Linked DNA regions of Rhinolophus ferrumequinum. The protein of the gene in region 1 interacts with the protein of each later gene in a pairwise test. Links are inferred from orthologs where the notes say so. Each region holds a gene or a part of one and is shown in the gene's direction. Other genes may lie near its edges.

Region 1 (7,328 bases):
CTCTTCCAGAAATTGCTTCTTTCACCCAAGGGAGCCAGGCCCTCCGGTACTTTTATTACTAAGTTCACAGTGACTTTCAACATCCTTGGTCATTGGCAAAAAGGTATCTTGTGTGTGTCCTTGGTCTGTCCTTACTTGTAAGTTGAAATTCTTTTCCTTGCAGCCCCTACCTGCTTTGATGGCAGTCCTGCCTGCGGAGGGTTCTTTCTATTTTGGGCACCCAGTTCTCTCTTTTCTAAACTTCCATTTACAACCTTGCTCTCTCATCTCTGGTTCTGGGTATCTCAGAAGGAAGTGATGCAAGATATTGATGTATAATTAGGCTCAGCTCATCTGGAAACTACTAAATTTAAGTGAGTTTAAAAAAAAATTTAAAGTATGCAGTAACAGTCTAAGGGAGAAAAAAGTAAAATACATATTCAGCAACTGGGATGATTTCCCCCACACACAAAGAATTTAAGGACAAGAGAATGAATTCTGTACTCTTTCTATTCCGAGGGTGCTACTTCCTAATTCGTGTCATACAATCAGTTATTTCTCCTTATCGAAATCAACTTAGAACAGTTGCCTGGGGTGAGGTGGGAGGTGATTAGAAAGAGGGGCATGAAGGAACTTCCTGGAGGGAAATAAAAAAGTGTTGTTTATTTTAACTGAGGTGTTGTTTACATGACCTATTCGTTTGTAAAAACTTGTGAATTGTAGACTTAGGATCTGTGCATTTTACTGCACAGATTAGATCTCAATTTCAAAATAGAAAAATTAAGCCAATGATTTGGCATACTTGGCTCTTGTCCATCTGCTACATTGTGTTGAAAAGAAATTAATCTGAGAAGGAAAAATAATACCCTATTGAGAAGGCAGACACATGTTGCAAACATAGGCTAAGGAAAACGGAGAGAAAAGCAGCAGACATTGTTAATGAGCTGAGGGGATATTTCCTGTTGTGGGGAGCTCAGCCTCTTCTGTAATGGGCTTAATCACTTCTAATTGTGCAGTCAGCTAATTACAGTGATTAGTCTTGCCTTCGTTGAACAGGCCTGGGAATCCCTTGAAGTCATTCTCTTAGCAGGACTGGATTGGATTTTCCCGAGTCTGGTGACCTCCTGAGATTGTGGCCTGCAATGGTCACCATTGGGTGTTTGGGGCTGTATGATCAGTCTTGGGGCCCATGAGTCATGTATGTAAGGCCTCTGAGCACATCGAGGACACGTGTGTACTCTGCACTGGCACTGTTCTCTCCAACACTATTCTCTCTCCACTGTTCTCGCCAACTCAGTCTTGTCTAGGTCGAAATGAATCACATTTTGAAAACAAACAGGATTATTCGCTGAGGCACGGGTGAAATGGCAAAAGAATTGAAACCGTCCTCATGACCATCAACGGGAGACTGGTTAAACAGATTATGGTTTGTCCACATAACCTAATACTGAAAAAAATAATGAGGACGCTCTCATGGGCAAACGTGGAAAGAACTCTAAGCTATGTCATTAAATGAAAACAAAAACAGTGGAGTATGACCATTGTGTAAAACAGAAGAGTGTATATTTGTATTTGCTTATGTATGTATAAAGAAACTTGGAAAAGAGACAAGAAACTTTAGAGTGGTTACAAGAAACTTTTGTGTGGAAGGATGTGGGGGCATCGGGGTTGGGAAGTGGGGTGGGAGAGAGATGATGGAGTAGGGAGGGACTTTTCACTGCAAACCTTTTAAAAATAGTTGTTGTTTTTTAAAATTATGTGAATGTATTACCTAATGAAAGATTGAAATCAATGAAATGTTCAAAAGTTTTTAAAAATAGGAAAAAGTTTTAGGGAAAGGGGGACCCCCTCCCCCGCCCGTGATCGCCTAATCCAGCATTTCCCACACAGTGGTTTCTGAAAGTGTCATAGGAAACTTGTGTACTTAAAGCAGGACAGGCATGCCCTGTATTTATTTATTTATTTACTTATTTTTTTGAAGGTTTATTTATAAATTGAAGGGTGCAATATTTATTTATTTATAAATTGAAGGTTTGTGGCAACCCTGCGAGCAAGTTAAAAACCTTTTAGGAAAGATTCACCGTTCCACATGCCACTAAGAATATGTGTGCGTGATTCATGGGAAGAGGTCAAAATATCAACATTAACAGGAGTTTGGAAGAAGTTGATTCTAACCCTCATGGATGACTTCGAGAGGTTCAAGACTTCAGTGGAGGAAGTCACTGCAGATGTAGTGGAAATAGCAAGAAAACTAGAATTAGAAATGGAGCCTGAAGATGTGACTGAATTGCCGCAACTTCATGACAAAACTATAATGGATGAGGAGTTACTTCTTATGGATGTGCAAAGAATGTGGTCTCTTGAGGTGGAATCTGCTCCTGGGGAAGATGCTATGAAGATTGTTGAAACGACAACAAAGGATTTAGAATACTACCTATACTTAGTTGATAAAGCAGTGGCAGGGTTGGAGAGGACTAACTCCAATTTTGAAAGTTCTGTGGCTAAAATGCTAACAAACAGCATTGCATACTAAAGAAACAGTTCATGAAAGAGTTAATAGAAGCAGCAAATTTCACTGTCTTATTTTCATAAATTGCCACAGCCACCCCAACCTTCAGCAACCACCACCCTCATCAGTCAGCAGCCATCAACATCGAGGCAAGACCCTCCACCAGCAAAAAGGTTATGACCTGCTGAAGGCTGAGATGATTGTTAGCCTTTTTTATCAATATATTTTTTTAACTAAGGTAGGTACATTGCATTTTTCGACATCATGCTAGTGTGCACTTAATCGACTCCAGTATGCTCGACAACGTAACTTTTATATGCACTGGGAAACCAAAATCTTCACATGACTCATTTTGTTGTGGTCTGGAGGTGAACATGCAATATACCTGGGGTATGCCTGTATAATAAATGTCCCCTTCTCCCATTTTAGGCATCAATATAGAGCTGCTTTTAATTTTTCTAAGTAATAATATTAACCAAGTTTTGGAGGAAGGTGCGGGGATGGGTCAAAGAGGTAAAGGGGAATATAGTCCATAATATTTTAATAATTTTACAAGGTGACAGATGGTTACTGACTTAGTGGGGTGATCACATCCTAAGGTAGGTAAGTGTCAAATCACTATATTGTACACCTGAAACTGATATAATATTGCATGTCAACTATACTTAAAAAGTTTCCAAAAAGTTAAATGTTCATTCCAAAAAGTATCAGAAGAAAGGAAAATCCTTTGGCTTGAACAGTTTGATGAAAAACGAAATTGTTATTTTTTCCACAAGCTCCACCAACAACCTCGGACAGAGCTGCAGACCAGCCTTTAGGAATCACCCCAGGGGAAACTGTCAGACAGACCTGGGCTCAGATCTGAATTCTCTGGTTAAACAGAGGAGTGATTTGAGGGAAATCTGCTGGGGGAAGGAAGCAGTTCCTCCCAGGGCAGTTCTGCGTGTTACAGGGTTCACTTGCGAGGTTGCCCTCACGGTTCCTTCCACGTGCAGGCCTGTTCCCCTGCCCCACAGTCCGCGACGAGACTCGCGGGCATGGACAAACGACTGGGTTCTCCAAGCCCCGTGGGGAGTTGCACGCTCCGTGGGCCACCTCCTCGGTGCCCCTACCTGGGGACACGGGCTGCACGTCCCGGTCCCCGCGAGCTTCCTGTTTTGGGGATGGCGCCCGCAAAGTCAACACGGTTAGCCAGAGGAGAAAGGACAAGTAGGCGGGGCCAGGCCGCCAGAGATGGAAACACCAACGGCTTGGCTCGCAGCCCTTTCCCCTTCTGGGAGCGCCAGGTGGGGAAGCTGGGAGGGGCCCTGGTGACATCCAAGCGGGCACAGGGCAGGCCTCGCCCCGTGCTCGCCCCGTGCGCGCCCGCCGCGGTTCCGTTCGCTCCTTCCACCCGGGGCTTTCCCTGCCACGGCCGTTTGGAGGCTCAGCGAGCACCTGCAAGAAGGTGACAAAAAAAAGACTGGCCACCGCGACCACAGCGGTCGCCTCATTGCGAGGAAGGGCCCTTTCTTGGCGCACAGGCACGCCGGGCCACCCACCTCGCAGCCGCACCTTCGGCGCAATCTTTCCATACTAGGGGAAAGGGCAGCGGGGAGGGCAGAAAGGGACGGCCCTGCGCGCTGGGGCGGCCTCCCATTGGCTGCTCTCGTTCCGCCCTCGGTCCCGATTGGCCGTGGGCTGAGCACACGGGCCGAACACGCTCCCAGCGGCGTTCCGCCGGCGGCGGCGGCGGCGGCGCAGCCAATGGGAGCGACCGGTGGGGCGGGGCCGCCAGCTCAGGGTCTCCCGGCGCGGACCAGTTGGTAAACAGATCCGGAGCGCGTGTCGGGCGCCAGCGGTGCGGCGACTTCTCGGAGGCGGCGCGAAGGTGACTGCGGATCCCAGCTTCCTGCCCCGGGGTAAGGCTGCCGCCCGCCGCGTGCCCGGAGCGCCGTCTGCCTGCGGCCAGAGCTGGGATCTGACCCGCCTCGGGCCCTCCTCGCATCCTCCTGAAGAGATAGCGCGGCTTTTTCTTTGCTATTGTCACGGCCGTGAGCTCCGGCACGCGGTGTGTGCGTCTCAGGATGCAGGGTGGGGGCCTGCAAATGTCGCCGACCCCGATCCCCACCACGGCTCGCGGGGCCTGCCTCGGAGAGGGGACGGGAGCCGCGGCCGGAGCCCCGGGGCGCGCCGAGCAGCCTCGGTGACCCGCCGCCAGATGCTTTGTCTCTTGGTCGCCAAGACAGCTTTCCTGTCTCGCTTTCTCCTGATAATCTTTCTCTTCACTCCCAGACCCCTTTGCACTGTCGTCGGGGGCTTTCACTGTCCCTGGCTGCAGGTTGGAGTCAGTGCTTTGACTCCCCTGGCAGCTGTTGGGTTTCACGGGTGGGGGGTTTGGGTGAACTTGAAAAACGAGGCCCTTCTGGGTCCTTCACTCCGTTCGCTTTGCTTTGTCCCTTCCTCCTGCTTCTCAAAACACTGGGGGTCTTGTGAGTGGTTTGGGCTTAACTGCTTAAACTTGTTCCTTTCCGTAGCCTCCCTGCGCCCCTGCCAAACGCAGGCCAGTTCTCCCCTGTGCCTCGGGGGATGAGGGATATTGCCGGGGCGAGTCTGGGTGCAGGGGTGTCAGTTTCTGTGCAGCCTTCTCTTAGCCTGGGTTGGGCCTGCAGCCCGTTGGAAAACTTGTCCACGCTCACTGTTCACTTGGGCCATGGGTGTGCGTGACAGAAGACTGAAGAGCTGGGCATGCCAGGCCTACCTCGGTGCCAAAGGATTTGAGTTTGCATGATGCCAGCCTGCCAGTTATGCTGTGCATGCACCCATCTGGGGCCATCCTAGTAGGAAGGGCCTTCTGAGAAAACACAGAGTGGGGGCTGGTGGTTCAGGGGAGCAGCATCTTGTAAGACGCCTGCGATGGCTTTGGACATTTTGTTCAGCCTTGCAAATAATGCCGACAGTGCAGGGCTGTTACATTTTTGGCCTGACCTCAGGCAACTCGGAATAAAAAGTGAAGCAGGTGCTTTCCAGTGTGTTACCTAAGAGTGTTTCTCAGTCTCCAGACGATCAACATTTTGCACTGGATAATTGTGTGTGTGTGTGTGGCGGGGCAGCTGACCTGCACATTGTAGGATGTGAAGCGGCATCCCTGGCCTGTATCCATTAGATGCTAGTAGCCCCGTCTCCCCCCCATTAGTTGTGACAACCAAAAATATCTCCTAGAGGAAAGAATCGCCCTTGGTGAGAACCACTGAGGTAATACTCTAAAAGAGTCTTCCCAGGATGCCCCTGAGTAGTTGAGAGGTTTAGGAACGGAGTAGTGTTGTGTCCCCTGCCCTAAATCGATGGCAGAAGCCCTGTAGATTGGGCTGTAAAAAAGCCCCACCTGAGGACCTGGGGCGGCAAGGAGATAGAAGGTAGAAACCCATGGACATTTGCTGTGCCTGCTGCATGTATGGCAGTGACTGGCTGGGTCCAGAGTGCAAAAGAAGTGGAAGACTGGTGGTTTCTATGTTTGGGGGTTTTGCAAGACTACGGGAATATACATATGAAATAATCACGGGGCAGTTTTTAAATAGTGGGCAAACAAGTTTAAGCTGTCTGAATGCTGGCAGAAAGGCCAACTCAGTTGTCCACAGGTGGCTTTTCCAAGATGATGCTTTACTCCTTACTTTTGGGGGAGACATCTCTTGTGTATTGTGATGTGGGAGGGGGTAGGGCCTGCATCTGCAGGGAGGGGGTGTCCGGCTGCACTGCAAACATATGTGTAGGTCTATTTTTATGTACCATGTGCCCGTCCTTGGGAGAGGCTCCCCAGGAGTGCAGTGGTGCAGCACGGACACATGTATGATTTGTGGGGTTCTTTTATATTTGATCGAAGCGTCAATGTCAAAGACAGTGAGCCATTTCTTTTCATACAGAGAAAGATGCTTTACCTCTGAGTCTGGATTTTGCCTTCAGTGTAACCTGGATTTTATGCCCCCTACTTCTAAGTCCCAAACGAATGGGGGTGCAGAAAAGCTGAAAAACGGATTACTGTACAGGGAAGGGAAACACATCCTAGGCACCTACCAGAAATTTCCCTTTCTTGTTAATCAGTTGGTTCTGTGGGGATGTATCAGGATTTTCCCATAACATTCCTTGGTCAGCTAGGGGGTCTTTCGGGCCCCTTTGAGAAAAGGATCTGGACAGGGAGCCCACTTCTCCTTTCTCAAAAAGTAGTGTTGAGAAGTCTATTATTGGGAAGCTCCAAACTTGGCAGGATAATTTTCCACCAAGAGCCATGGACCCTGAGTCATTATCTTTGTCGGTTGAAACAAGAGCTGTGTGCAGAATTAGACGGGAATATTTAGATAGAGAGTTGTCTTGATCTGACAGTGGCATCTAGAAATAGTTCCAGCATTCCTGCTAAACAGCAGCCAGGAACTTGGGCGAGCCAGTGGAAAGGAGAGCTGGTGGGAGTGGGCGAGTGCGAGGTCCTGCTCCTTCTGGAGTTGCACCTATGGGAGGGGTGGGTCTGCTGGCCCAGAGGCAGGACCAGGACCCCCAGTGACATGCATCTGGGTGGGATCTGAAAGGGAGCTTCTGCCCCCTCTTTGCGAACCCAAGTGGCACGGTATCTATTGGTCTATCCACAAGCATGTTGTTTGTTGTTGGGGTTATAGGCTTCTGAGCGCTTGACCCTTAGCTTTGAGGTCAGTGCCCCACAGAATATTGAAAGTTGGAAATGACTCTGAAAAACTCTTTTTGTTCTTCATACCTGGGTGTGATTTATTTTTAGTGTGTGCACGGAGAGAAGGTCGTAAGAAATAGCTGAGTGTTTTCACTCCAATTTCCATTTCAAGGTATTGTAGAATGTGTT
Region 2 (5,553 bases), on another chromosome or scaffold:
GTGGTTGGGGGTGGAGAGGATACATGACTTTGGCGCCACACTGGCTTAATTTCACATCTGCCATCATTTATTTTGTTTGTGTAACCTTTGATAGTAATTTCACCTCTTTGAGCCTCTGTTTCCTTATCTGTAAAATGGGAACGATAGTATCTTCCTCCCAGGATTGCTATGATGATGAAATGAGATAATATGTGGTTCCAAGGGGCCCTGAAATTAATCTGATGAATTAAAGGTGGAGAAAACAGCTTAACACGGTGCACTTGTTCTCACATACATGGATGGAATAAAACAAATCAAGAAAAGAAAGGAGGCTATGTGTCTGGCTTCACAAATAGAGAAGTACTAGTGGAATCCACTACCTGCCTGTGCGTCCTAACCTCCTGTTCCTGGTGCTGAGACAGAACTCACTACCCACTATGTGTTTTCCTTATGATGCAGGTGAGTATTGATGGGGACTCCCGTGGCACCTAGATGCACAGGGAGGTACCTCCCACATGTCCATCCTCCCTTCACCATCATCTTCCCCAGCTGTCTCTCTTTTGTACATCAATGTCTTTTAGAGCTCATTCTCAAAGAGTGGCCAAGGACCAACAGCATCAGCATCCCCTGGGAGCTTGTTAGAAATGCAGAATCCCTGACCAGTTCCATCCCAGGGAAGTCATGTGCACATTGAAGGTTGAGAAGCTCTAGTTGGAGGTTTAAAGCCTCCACTTAAAATGCATAAGATTCACAGCTTTCTGAGTTTGATGGTGTTTGGTGCTGTCACTGGAAATGTTATCTCAAGCCACAAGAGTACATCCACATAACATTAGGAAATTGGCATTTCACTCGTCCTGGGAGGGTATATTCTTGATCTCAACAATATGAACCTACATTGATTTGCTTTTTTATTTTTAACTAAATCATTTTTATCAAAATACTATGGAATATAATTTTAGGGGTAAATTACATTTAGGCTTGTAATAGACTTTTCTATGCTTCTCCATTCCCAAGTCAACCATTTTAAATGCTTTTTGTTATTTTTCCTTGTACTTACTTCTATGCTTCTATTGCTGTTTCTACGCTTCTATTGCTATTTCTTGATGTTTAGACATTATCTGTGGAATTCCTAATGTGGAATTAAGGATTTAGCTTTCTTATCACCCTTCTACCCATACATACCCAAATACACAAACATACACTTCCCCTCCTTCCATTTTCCCAAAAGAGCTAAATCACTGGATTCTATATTCAGTGCTTATATTATGACCATGTAAATATTATTGTTCAACTTTGTGTAATAATTACTTTGTAATTCTTTCTTTGTAAATATTTATTTGTAATAATTACAAAGTAATTACTTTGTTTTATCATTTGCTGGGTCTTAAAGGCACCAATTGCTAATACAATTCTAAGTTTCCAACAGAACTGAACATTTATTTTGAATATGTCTAAAAACAGCAGATAATCATTTTATTTTCTTCTGGAGACATCCCTGCTGGGGATGATGAAGTGATCCAAAAGCATCTATCTTTTGATTCCAGGATGAGTTGCTTGTTTTCCCACCTGGGAGCACAGCTGACATCCCAGGCCCTTCTCATCATACCTCTCCTGTGTTTGGCCTCATTTCTTAAAACCCATATTCTCTTCTTTCTTAATTATTTGTTTTCCTGAAGTACATCCTCCAGTAACTTTCTAAGAAACAGTGCATGCAAGGTCAAAATTTTGAGACCTTGTATGGTTTAGAATGTCTTTATTCTGCCCTCACACTTGGTATGCATTTGGGCATATATACGTTTCTAGGTTGGAAATCATTTTCCCTCAGAATTTTGTGGGCATTTCTTTATTGCTTTGGCAAGAGCCAGAGCAAAGTAATCAAAGAATGGTCCCAAGGGTCAGTGGCATTAGCTTCATGGGCTGTTGAGCCCATCACCACCAAAGATATCAACGTTGCCAAACTTGAGTCTTTGGACAAGGCCCACTGGAGATAGATATGCAGCCTGATTCTCACTCTGTCTCCTCCTCTCCTAGCAGCTGTGTGGCCACTGTCTTCACTACCTGCCCCCATCAGTTTTCCTTCAAAATATGATATGTGGACAAGGATTAAGTTCTCTCATTTATGACCCATTTCCATTCTTGCCTCTCAAGGCACTAAACTAAGATGTGCTGGAACTTCTGGAACCATCACCCAGTTACAGACTATCAGTGGGGGTAGGTTTCTTTCCCAGACGACCAATCCCTTCATTACATGTTCATTTTCCTGAATTTCATTCTCAGAGGGTAACCTTAACCTCCAGTTTGGGGGTTACTATGTAGTAGCCCTCTTACGTTCATATCCTGTATGCCATTTCTGGAATCCCAGTATCTGGAACACCTCCCACAAACCATGGTACTACTTAGAATGCCTAAATAGCCCCGTCTTGCCCCATTCCTATGTAGCAGGTCACATGGGAGCCCAGCCACAGAAAGCCTCAGGTTTGCTTCCTGACAGAGTCTATCTCTGTATCCCAGGACTGTAATACTGAAAAAAATCCCCCACAAGAGCTCACAGGCATCACCCTACTCTCAGGGAAGAGAGCATTAGACAGGAAGATTGAATAACTTGTCCCTGGACACACAGCTCTGGGAACCTGCAGGAAAAAGAAAGCAGCCCTTCCTCCTTTGGTCAGCTGCCCATGTGGTGATGAGGTTAGATGCCTTCTTGGCAACACAGATCCCCAAGGGAGGGCCCTAGGGCAGAGAATTAGCAGAGGCAAGAGATTGAGTCTTGGTTCTCAGAAATCACTGACCTCCTCTGGCTAAGCCCCAGCTGCTTATGAGGCCAGAACCAGCAGCAGCCACTCCCTACCTCAGGGATCCACCTGGCAAGAGGTCACAATGCCCCAGCTGTCAGGCCCAGAATGGCTGACCTAAGTGGGAGGAGGTGAGAAGGGCTGGGTGGGTGAGCGTGTGGGGAGGGGGAGATTCCCCATGAGCCCCATTCCCCACTCCCTGAGCTCACCCTTGAGTGATTTCCACCCCTTCCCACTTTCCCACCCCACCCCCATACTCCCTCCCAGGAAACAAAGCCCCTTCCTGTAACCTCCGCCTCCCTCCATGACCCAGCTCTGCTCACTCAGGCCCAAAGCCCTTGCTTATCCTATCCCTGTCCCTCCCAGGGGCCTGGGTGCTGGAGAGGGATCGGGTCATCCAGTGGGTCCATGTATGTCCTCTTTGGACCCTAGTCCAGCCCAGCTCATGGACAGTGTCCTAGGGCTGGGGGCACTGGGGTTGACAATTTGGGCAGTCTTTTCCTCGGCTGGCCCAGCCTTGCTGCTGCTGCTGCTACTAGTCAGCTTCCTGGCCTTCGACCTACTCCACAGGTAAGTGGGCAGCAGCCTGGCAGATGGGCAGGCATGGGCAGGTGAGGAAGTGGTCAATCTCCCAAAGCCCGGCTGCTGCCCTCTTTCTCCACAGGCCCTCAGATCCACCGGGCCACAGCACACACTTCTCACAGGGGGCCTGAGTCAGGGGGCTGGTGAGGGTCCCAGATGGCAGGAGGCTCTACTCCTGCCGATGGTGGCAGTCACAGGACAACTCTGCCTCCAGGAAGCTCTGCTCCTGCTGCTCCTGGGCCTGGGGCTGTTCCTGGGAGCCTGAGGGGTGCCTTTGGCCCTGCTTGGCCTGGCTTTCTGCCTCCATCCTTGGGCCTGAGTGCCCTCCAGAAATACACTGGCCATAGTGCTGCCTCATTCCTCTTTTTCTCCATCGTGGGCTTGGCAGGGTGGGAGGGTAACCCATTGTCCCCAGGGGACCTCCAGCCCCACAATGTGAAAGCAGCCATAGAAGGTGAGATAAGGCACAGGTTGCCCAGTGCGGGAAGTGATAGCCATCTCAGAACCTGCAGATTGGGGTTGGCCATTCTGGCCTCCTCTGTGGTTCTAAAGAATGAAGGTCCAGAGAGAAAGACTTGCGAGAGAGCAGAGTGTGACTGGCTATCAGCCAGCAGGGAACAGACAGATATCCAAGAGGGCTTCCCACAAGAAAGCATGACAAACTACGTCTGTTGACTCCCCAGGCTCCTCTGCCAGCCTGAAGGGTCCACAGAGAAGGGCTTGCATGAGGCTCGCACCCTGCAATGGCTCCTTTCTTGGCTGGACCCCACCCTAGACCAGGTCACAATGGGCTCCTCTGGGAGGGTGGAGATGAGGGAAAGAGGGGACTCATCTCTGGCTGCCAGGCCGTCCTGGGAGCTACAAGAAGCAACATGACTTAGGTGGCTTTGCCCAGAGGTAAGACCCAGTCCCCAGCTCAAAGCCCCACCCCACCCACACTGGTGCCCACCTGACTCCTGCACCCACACCTGCCCTGAGGTCCCAGACATATCCAAGGCTGCTTCTGCAGCTGGCCTGGCCTCTCCCCAGGTGCACCAGCCATGATGCAGCAGTCGCAAATGGAGACAGATGCCATCGGGGCCGGTGAGGGGCCGCAGCGGGCGGTGCCCTGGTCGGCCTGGGTCTCGCGACAGAGTTGGCTGCGCTGGTGTGCATCCCACGTGCCCCAGAGCTGGACCCACTGGTGGGCCACATCCAGCTGGCGGCAACCACTGCAGCGTGTGCTTTGTGGTCTGGAAGGGATCCTCTACCTGCTGCTGGCACTGATGCTATGTCACGCGCTCTTCACCACGGGTTCCCATCTGCTGAGCTCCCTGTGGCCTGTGGTGGCTGCAGCGTGGCGACATCTGCTGCCCGCCGTCCTGCTGCTGGTGCTCAGTGCCCTCCCGGCCCTGCTCTTCACCGCCTCCTTCCTGCTGCTGTTTTCCACGCTGCTAAGCCTCGTGGGCCTCCTCACCTCCATGTCTCACCTAGGCCACGCTCAGGATTTGGACCAATAGAAGGGCAACCCCATCCCGCTGCTTGTGTCTGTTGAGCCCTGGCCTAGGGCCTGAGGCCCAGGGGAGAGGGAGGGCAGTGGGATCAGGGCCTTCCTGCCTTAGCAGGCTCAGACCCCCGGTCCCTAGCACTGGTTGTGGCATGCGTGCTGTTGCTGGAGCAGGCAGGGTAGACTGGCCTGACCTCTGGGCACCTCCCTCAAGCCCATGCTACAGGTACTGGGTGTGGAGGGCCAGGGGCTTTGAGGAGAGGGGACAGGGAAGAAGGCTTAACTAGGGGCATAGTTAGCCAAGCCACCAACAACTCCCATGTGGGTGTGGTGACACCACTGGGGCCCCCTTAGCAACTAGCGGCATCTTTTTCTTGCAGCTGTCTCAGCTTCAGACTCATTGAGAACTTCTACCTAGGTACTCCTGGACTTGCCATTCCTCCCACCAACCGCCTCTTTCCACTTGCCCAGGCTCTAGAAAGGGCCCACTGACAGAAAGCTAGCTGGCAGAGGACTGACCACAAGCCCCATGAGATCTCAACTAGTTCACCTCCCAGATCTTTCTGCCCAGGCATTTCCCCACTCCCTAGACGTCCTAGCTCCTGCCTTAGTCTACATCCCCAAATCTGGGAAATGGGCCAAACAGTATAATGAGGTTCTCAGAGAGTACCTACTCTTTAAGTTTCGTGAGGTCTGTTCTGGAAAACAAAGAAG
Region 3 (7,155 bases), on another chromosome or scaffold:
CCCACACAAGAGAAACTCATGGAGCACCCAGTGCAGGTGACCAGGGAGACTGTGACACTGGGCTCCACAGGGTACCTACTACATAAGGACACCCAGCCAAGACTGCGAGACATAGCAAACCTACCTAATACATAGAAACAAACACAGAGAGGCAGCCAAAATAAGGAAACAAAAAAATACGTCCCAAATGAAAGAACAGGAGAAAGCTCCAGAAAAAGAACTAAACAAAATGGAGACAAGGAACCTACCAGAATACAGAGTTCAAAACAATGCTCATAAGGATGCCCAAGGAACTTAGTGAGAACTTCAACAAAGAGACTGAAAGCATATAAAATAACATAGAAACCATAAAAAAGAACCAGTAAGAAATAAAGAACACAATAACTGAAATGAAGACTATACTAGAAGGAATCACCAGCAGACTAAATGAAGCAGAGGATCGAATCAGCGATATGGAAGATAAGGCAGCAGAAAACACCCGATCAGAGCAGCAAAAAATTATATTAAAAAAAAAATCTTAGAAAATAAGGATAGTTTAAGGGGCCTTTGAGACAACATCAAGCACACCAATACTTGCATCATAGGAGTGCCAGAAGGAGAAAAGAGAAAGAAGGGATTGAGAACGTATTTGAAGAAATAATGACTGAAAACTTTCCTAACCTGGTGAAGGAAATAGACATACAAGTCCAGGAAGTGCAAAGAGTCCCAAACAAGATGAACCCAAACAGGCCCACACCAATTCATATTATAATTAGAATGGCAAAGGTTAAAGACAAAGAGAATCCCAAAAGCAGCAAGAGAAAGGCAACTCGTCACTTATAAGGCAGCTCCCATGAGACTGTTAGCTGATTTCTCAACAGAAACTTTGCAGGCCAGAAGGGATTGACATAAAATATTCTACATGATAAAAAACAAGGCCCTACAACGAAGATTACTCTACCCAGCAAAGCTATCATTTAGAATCAAAGGACAGGTAAAGAGCTTCCCAGACAAGAAAAAGCTGAAGGAATTCATTACCACCCAACCAGTATTAAAAGGACTGTTAGAGGGACTTCTTTAAGAAAGGGGGAAAAATCAAAATTATGAGTAATCAAATGATAATTGCTACATATCTATCAACAATTACTTTCAATGTAAATGGATTAAATGTTCCAATCAAAAGACATAGGAGGGCTGAATGGATAAGAAAACAATATATACTGCCTACAAGAGACTCCCTTCAGACTGGAAGATACACAGACAAAAAGTAAAGGGATGGAAAAAGATATTTAATGGAAACGAAAACAAACAAACAAAAAAGCTGGGGTAACAATACTTATACCAGACAAAATAGACTTTAAAACAAAGGCTATAACAAGACACAAAGAAGGACCCGGTAATCTCACTTCAGGGTATTTATCTGAAGAAACCCAAATGCTACTTCAAGGGAATGTGTGCATCCATATGTTCATTGCAGCATTGTTTACAATGGCCAAGATATGGAGACAACCTGGGTGTCTGTTGATGGAAGAATGGATACAGAGGAGCTTATACATATATATGGAATATTGCTTGGCCAAGGAAGGGAATGGGTTCTTGCCATCTGTAGTGGCCTGGATGGACCGAAGGGATATTATGCTGAGTGGGGTGTCAAACAGAGAAAGACAGATGCAATGTGATTTCATTTACATGTGGAATCTAAAGATCAAAACAAACAAACAAAACAGAAACAAACTCATAGACACAGAGAACATATTGATGGTTGCCAGATGGGAGAAGGGTTGGGAGTGAGTGAAAAAGGGGAAGGGATTAAGAAGTACAAATTAGTTGTTACAAAGTAGTTATGGGGATGTAGGGTATAGAATAAGGAATATAGTCAATAATCTTGTAATAAGTATGGTGTCAGGTGGGTACTAGATTTGTTGGGGTGATAGATGGGAGAGGGTTTGGGGCAGAATGAAAAAGGTGACAGGATTAAGAACTACAAACTGATAGTTACAAAACAGTCAAGGGAATGTAAAGTAAAGCACAGGGAATATAGTCAATAATACGGTAATAACTATGTGTAGTGCCAGGTGAGTCCTAGACTAGGCAGGGGGATCACTTCTTAAATTATACAAATGTCTAACCACTATGCTGCACACCTGAAATTAATATAAACTAATATTGAATGTCAACTATAATTGAAAAATTTTTAAAGGGAGAAAAGGTGAAGGGGAACAAAAGGTCCAAATCTCCAGGTATAAAACAAATAAATCACGGGGATGTAATGTACAGCATACGGAATATAGTCAACAAGATTGTGATAACGTGGTACGGTGTCAGATGGTTGCTGGACTTGTGGTGATCATTTCTTTAGGTATATAAATGTTGAATATATGGTGCACACCTGAAACTAATAATATTGTATGTTAGCTATATTTTAATAAAAATCTTTTTAAAAACTTTTTAAAAAGAATATAATTGGCAACCTCAAAAATGGTTTTTAGGTATAGTTACAGAAGTGGAAGTCAACTACGTGGAATTAAGCAGGAAATAGATGATAAGAAAATTGAGGCAGTACACTATAGTCGTGTGACTCTGTCAGTGAAACAAGAGAAACAGTATTACAGCTATAGTGGGCTCAACAGGAAGATGTGAAGGCGTCTTCCAAGTCAGGAAGATCTACACCTTTGAAGAAGAGGACCCAGAGTTTCTTCCTATAAGGGTGGATGTGATGCTATGATTCTTTTGTAGAAATGGACATAGATTATGGCAAATGTACTTATTGTGAAGATAGACATCTGTGAAGAGAGAGTGCTTTTCCACATATAAATCTAAAATGGACAATAAAAGAAAAACAAGATTACTAATTATATATTTTCTGTCCCATATTTCTGGAAAAACAGGCTTATATGAAAGACACATGTAATATTTTTGTCCTGTAGAGTCATTCTATTGGAGTTATCTTAAAAAGAAGTGGTTGTTTTTGTCACCACCATAAATAATAAAAGAACACAAATATTATCTGCTGTTCCTTATAATACCTTTAGGAACTAATCTTTCAGACTTTAACAACAGCCACTCTTTCTGTGGTTGCTGTTTCAGTAAACCAAGCATGAATCCAAGCTAATTTTATTGCCTGCTGGGCCTGCATTTTCCCAGCCCTAATGTAACAAAAGGGCACAGCAACACAAAAAATACAGTGTTTTCTTATTCTTGATATACTAATGTCTTTCTCCATGCTTGCACCTGTTCTAATTTAGTTCAACTATAGGCTGTATCATGAAGACTGGTTAGGAAGTTACTCGGAATTAGGGGGTTTTGAACAGATTTCACATCATATTATCATTTGTTATTAAATTCACTACCCTGAATCTTTAAGGGTTATTCTATCTCACTCACCATTTTATAATTCTTAGTGTCCCCCACTTGGCACTTTGTGTCCCAGGCACCATACTCTGGACAAAGCAGGCACCTAAGATTGGTCCTGTATCTCAGCAGGTGCATGCTGCCTTCAGGCAGTCACCAAGTCCTGTGGCGGCAGCAAATAGTTAAGAGCTTCCACTGGGGATGGAGAAATCCCTGAAGGTTGTTAAGTAAAGGAACGGAGAGCTTCTTGAGGGCAAGGACAAAGTCTTGTCCAGGGATTACCCCAATTTTATCTCAGCATGATATCTCCAACACTAGATTCAGTCCTGTACACAATAGATATCAATAATTTTGAAAGAATGAAGAAACAACAGGCCCGGCGGGGGCCTGCAAACATAGGCAACCGAATGCCATCCAGGCGTCAGAGAGCAGCTGGGCACAGGTGCTACAAGATGACGGAGCTGTTGTTTCTATTTCACAGATACTGTAATTCTTTGCTACAATTTCCATATTTTGTCTTAAAATAAAGAGGTGGGTTTGAGTTGTTTCTGCTCTTGGTTCTCACGGACTTAACTACAAGCGCGCAGCACTGCTGCGGCCCTGTGGCGCGCCCCTCGCAGCGAACACGACACTCCTTGGGGAGGAAGGAGCAGGCCAAGCTACCCGCACGCCCCGCGGCTATACCGCGGCGGTCCTGAAGGGGTCGCTGTTCCCGCGATAACCTCTATAAAGGCCCCGCCCCGCGGCCGGCGCCCGCTTGCTCCGTTGGGGCCCCGGCCCCACAGGGTCAGAACGCCAGTCTGTTCGTCTTCTGCTCGCCCCCCGCTGCCAGCGGGACGTTAGCGGCCACCCTCGGGACTGGACAGGCCCTACCTCTCGGCCACCGCCGCCGCCGCCCGTCGGGCTCGGAGGCGTGCGTTCTCGCCCCTCGCCCCGCCCTCTCGCTCCCCCTTGACGGAAACGACAGCTGCGGCGGCGGAGCTGGCGCCGCCTCCCTCCACCTACCACGTCTGCCCCCGCCACTCCCTGCCGGCGCCCCAGCCCGGCCGAGGCGCCTCCGCCTCCCCGCTAGGTCAGCCGGCAGCTCCGCCCGGCTGCCGCCCAGGATGAACATCATGGACTTCAACGTGAAGAAGTTGGCGGCTGACGCGGGCACCTTCCTCAGCCGTGCTGTACAGGTACTGGGGTTGGGCGGGTGGCGGTGAGCCGCGGGGCCAAGGCGGGGACGTCGGAGCGCCCAGCCGGAGGCCTCCGCACCCAGTCTAGCTGACCGCACGGCGGGAGAGCTGCGGCCGGAGGCCCGGCTGATGGGTGCGGCCTGGTGCCCCTGAGGGCCTGGCGTCAGTTTTCTGTACCCCTTCTGCCCACCCTCCGCTCCCGGAAAGCGAGGTGGGGTGGGGACGGAGCCTGGCGTCTCCTCCCGCCCCTGGAGGACACCTTGGGTTCGGCCTCGAGCCGAGGCACCGCACCGCCCGCCTTTCTGACCCCGACGCGGCTGCTCGTGTGACCTCCCTCCTGGGGCGGGCGGAGGCCTCGCGAGTCCCGCGGGGGTAGCAGAGAGACAAACTGTTCTTGCACCACCCCCACTCTTTCCTTTCCTCTCTTTCGCCCTCCCCGCCGAGTGAGTCTAAGAAGGAAGTTTTTTTCCTTTTCCTGCCCTTCAACCCAAAGAGCTGCCAACACAGTTCCTTCCAGCCCTCTCTCTCCATGAAAGGACGGCCCCTGGGCTTGGCAGCCCGCGGGAGAAATGGAGATCGCCAGTTGGCGTCCCGACTTTGCCAAGGCCAAGGGGAAACAAGGAGTTTGGGGCTTTCCACTCATTCTCAAAATGGGAAGCACCGGCAGTAGGGCGAGGAGAGCGAGGGGAGAGATTTATGTTGTGCCTGTAGTCACAGCGGTCTGTTTCAAACACACTTTAAGGGGCAAAGTTAAGCATCTCGAGGACCCCCACAAGGAAGTGTCAGTACTGGAGAACTTGGACAGTTTCCTACATCACCCACATTATGTCAACTCAGTGAAATCTATGAACAGATGTAAATTTCACCGCAACATGGGTTATAAACGATCTGGTGTTTAAGTTAATGACATAGTCACAGTAGCAACAGCATTCTCCTTTGTAAAGAGAAAACAAGTTTTCTAATACGGGTATCAAATGGATACTGAAATGTAAAACAGTTGTATTGCTTTACTACTTTCCTTGTCTCCATTACCCCAATTTTACTGGCACAGTGGATCTTACATTGCACTAGGCTTGGCAAAAGCATGGTAGAACTAGAACAAGGTACTAGCTGCCTGTGTTGTGAAAAAACTGTCACACATTTCGCTAGACATTTATCGAATTATCTCCAGTCCTTTCTGTAACTTTGCCAGATAGATGTTACTAACGTTAACCTCCTTTTATATATAAAGAAGCAGCCTCAGAGAGGTTAACTAACTTGCTTAACTTGCATGGCTAGTAAATAGCCGAGTACTTGCTGACCTACTACTTATTGCAAGCCACTTCTCTCTTCCTGGATAAACACTGCAGGTTTAGGATATATAGAATAATAGAATGTTACAGCCTAAAGAGACCTTCAGGATCATCTAGTACGATCTAAGCATTTCCGATCTAAGCATTTCCGTAACACTTAAGTAACAATTAAAAAATGGGAAATTCCTTCTAGTTCTTGATTTCCAAGTTTTAAAATCTGCATGGTGAATCTAGCTGCCTTAACCCTCTCTCCCCCATCTTCCATTAAAATATAAGATACATTGTAAAGACATTGAACCTTATCGTTAAAATAATTTCTTGATTTAAATTAGCCTACTTAAAATAGTTCAAAGACAAGGTACAAGAAGAGTGAGTGAATTGAGAGTCTGAAATTAAGTTTGATTTTGAGACTTAATGTTGACGGCAAAAGAGGCAGGAGAGAGGCAGAGCCTTTGGTATTGCTTTAGTGCTGATTCCCTATGATTCTAGATGCTGAATGCAGATTTTACACTATATAATGCCACTCTTTTAGATAGCTAGATACGTTTTCAGGTATATAATCCACACTGCTTAAATAGTACACATAGTAGAATTTTCTTTAGCTTGTCAGTAGACTCACTTTTTAAAATCTGGCAAAGCTCTCACAAGATGTACTACTTTCCAGATGAATTATAATTACTCATTGTTTCAAATTCTTTAGGAAAAAGCTTTTAAATTGTATTCTAATCTGTGAACTGTCGAATAATTTTGAGTCTTAAAAACTTAAGTGTTTACTTCATGTCTGCTTATCCCTACTATTTTGGACATTGGTGATACTGCAGTGAATAAAATCAACAAAACATCTGCCCTTCCAGAGCTTACAATCTAGCAGGAGATGACAAACGAGTGAATACATCAGGTGGTGATGGAGAAAAAGGCCAGAAGGGATTGGTTAATGGCACAGGTGGCAGCTGTTGCCATGTTGTATAGACATGATCAGGGCAAGCCTTTCTAATAGGAGGGGACCTCAAGGAAGTCACAGTTCACAGTTTTTTTGGAGAAAAGCACTTTAGGCAAAAGGAACAAGTGCAAAGACTCTGAGGTTACAGGGGTACTAGGCAGACCCGTTAGGGAACTATGGCCATAGGACAGGCAAAATGTGACTTAGTAAGAGTGATAGCAGGGAAGATTCAGAATCTATCCAGTACTCCTTAGACTGACTCGGGGGTATGAGAGGAAGATAGTCAAGGATGACCCCAAGGTGTTGACTTGAACCATTTAATAAGAAGGGAAAAAATTCAGGAGGAACAGGTTCCTTTAATATGTGTTTTTATAGTAAATCTGTATGTTAGAGATACATTCTGAAATATTTATAA

What was found.
Region 2: the proteins of COQ8A (region 1) and TMEM239 interact in binary tests that used the Homo sapiens proteins (3 or more experiments, as listed by UniProt). The two-hybrid records come from large-scale screens. The link is inferred for Rhinolophus ferrumequinum from reciprocal best matches to the Homo sapiens genes COQ8A and TMEM239.
Region 3: the proteins of COQ8A (region 1) and SH3GLB1 interact in binary tests that used the Homo sapiens proteins (3 or more experiments, as listed by UniProt). The link is inferred for Rhinolophus ferrumequinum from reciprocal best matches to the Homo sapiens genes COQ8A and SH3GLB1.

What each region holds. Positions count from the first base shown.
Region 1 is NC_046310.1:14,681,515-14,688,842, forward strand, and holds the start of COQ8A (atypical kinase COQ8A, mitochondrial), read left to right. Parts: upstream 1-4,245; 5' UTR 4,246-4,389; intron 4,390-7,328. UniProt on the Homo sapiens protein: Atypical kinase involved in the biosynthesis of coenzyme Q, also named ubiquinone, an essential lipid-soluble electron transporter for aerobic cellular respiration.
Region 2 is NC_046306.1:25,000,029-25,005,581, forward strand, and holds TMEM239 (transmembrane protein 239), read left to right. Parts: upstream 1-3,906; coding exon 3,907-3,943; intron 3,944-4,168; coding exon 4,169-4,237; intron 4,238-4,331; coding exon 4,332-4,852; 3' UTR 4,853-4,974; downstream 4,975-5,553. Other genes in the region: C23H20orf141 (uncharacterized protein C20orf141 homolog), read left to right, coding at 3,076-3,341, 3,444-3,618.
Region 3 is NC_046292.1:65,169,229-65,176,383, forward strand, and holds the start of SH3GLB1 (endophilin-B1), read left to right. Parts: upstream 1-4,115; 5' UTR 4,116-4,436; coding exon 4,437-4,508; intron 4,509-7,155. UniProt on the Homo sapiens protein: May be required for normal outer mitochondrial membrane dynamics. Required for coatomer-mediated retrograde transport in certain cells. May recruit other proteins to membranes with high curvature. May promote membrane fusion.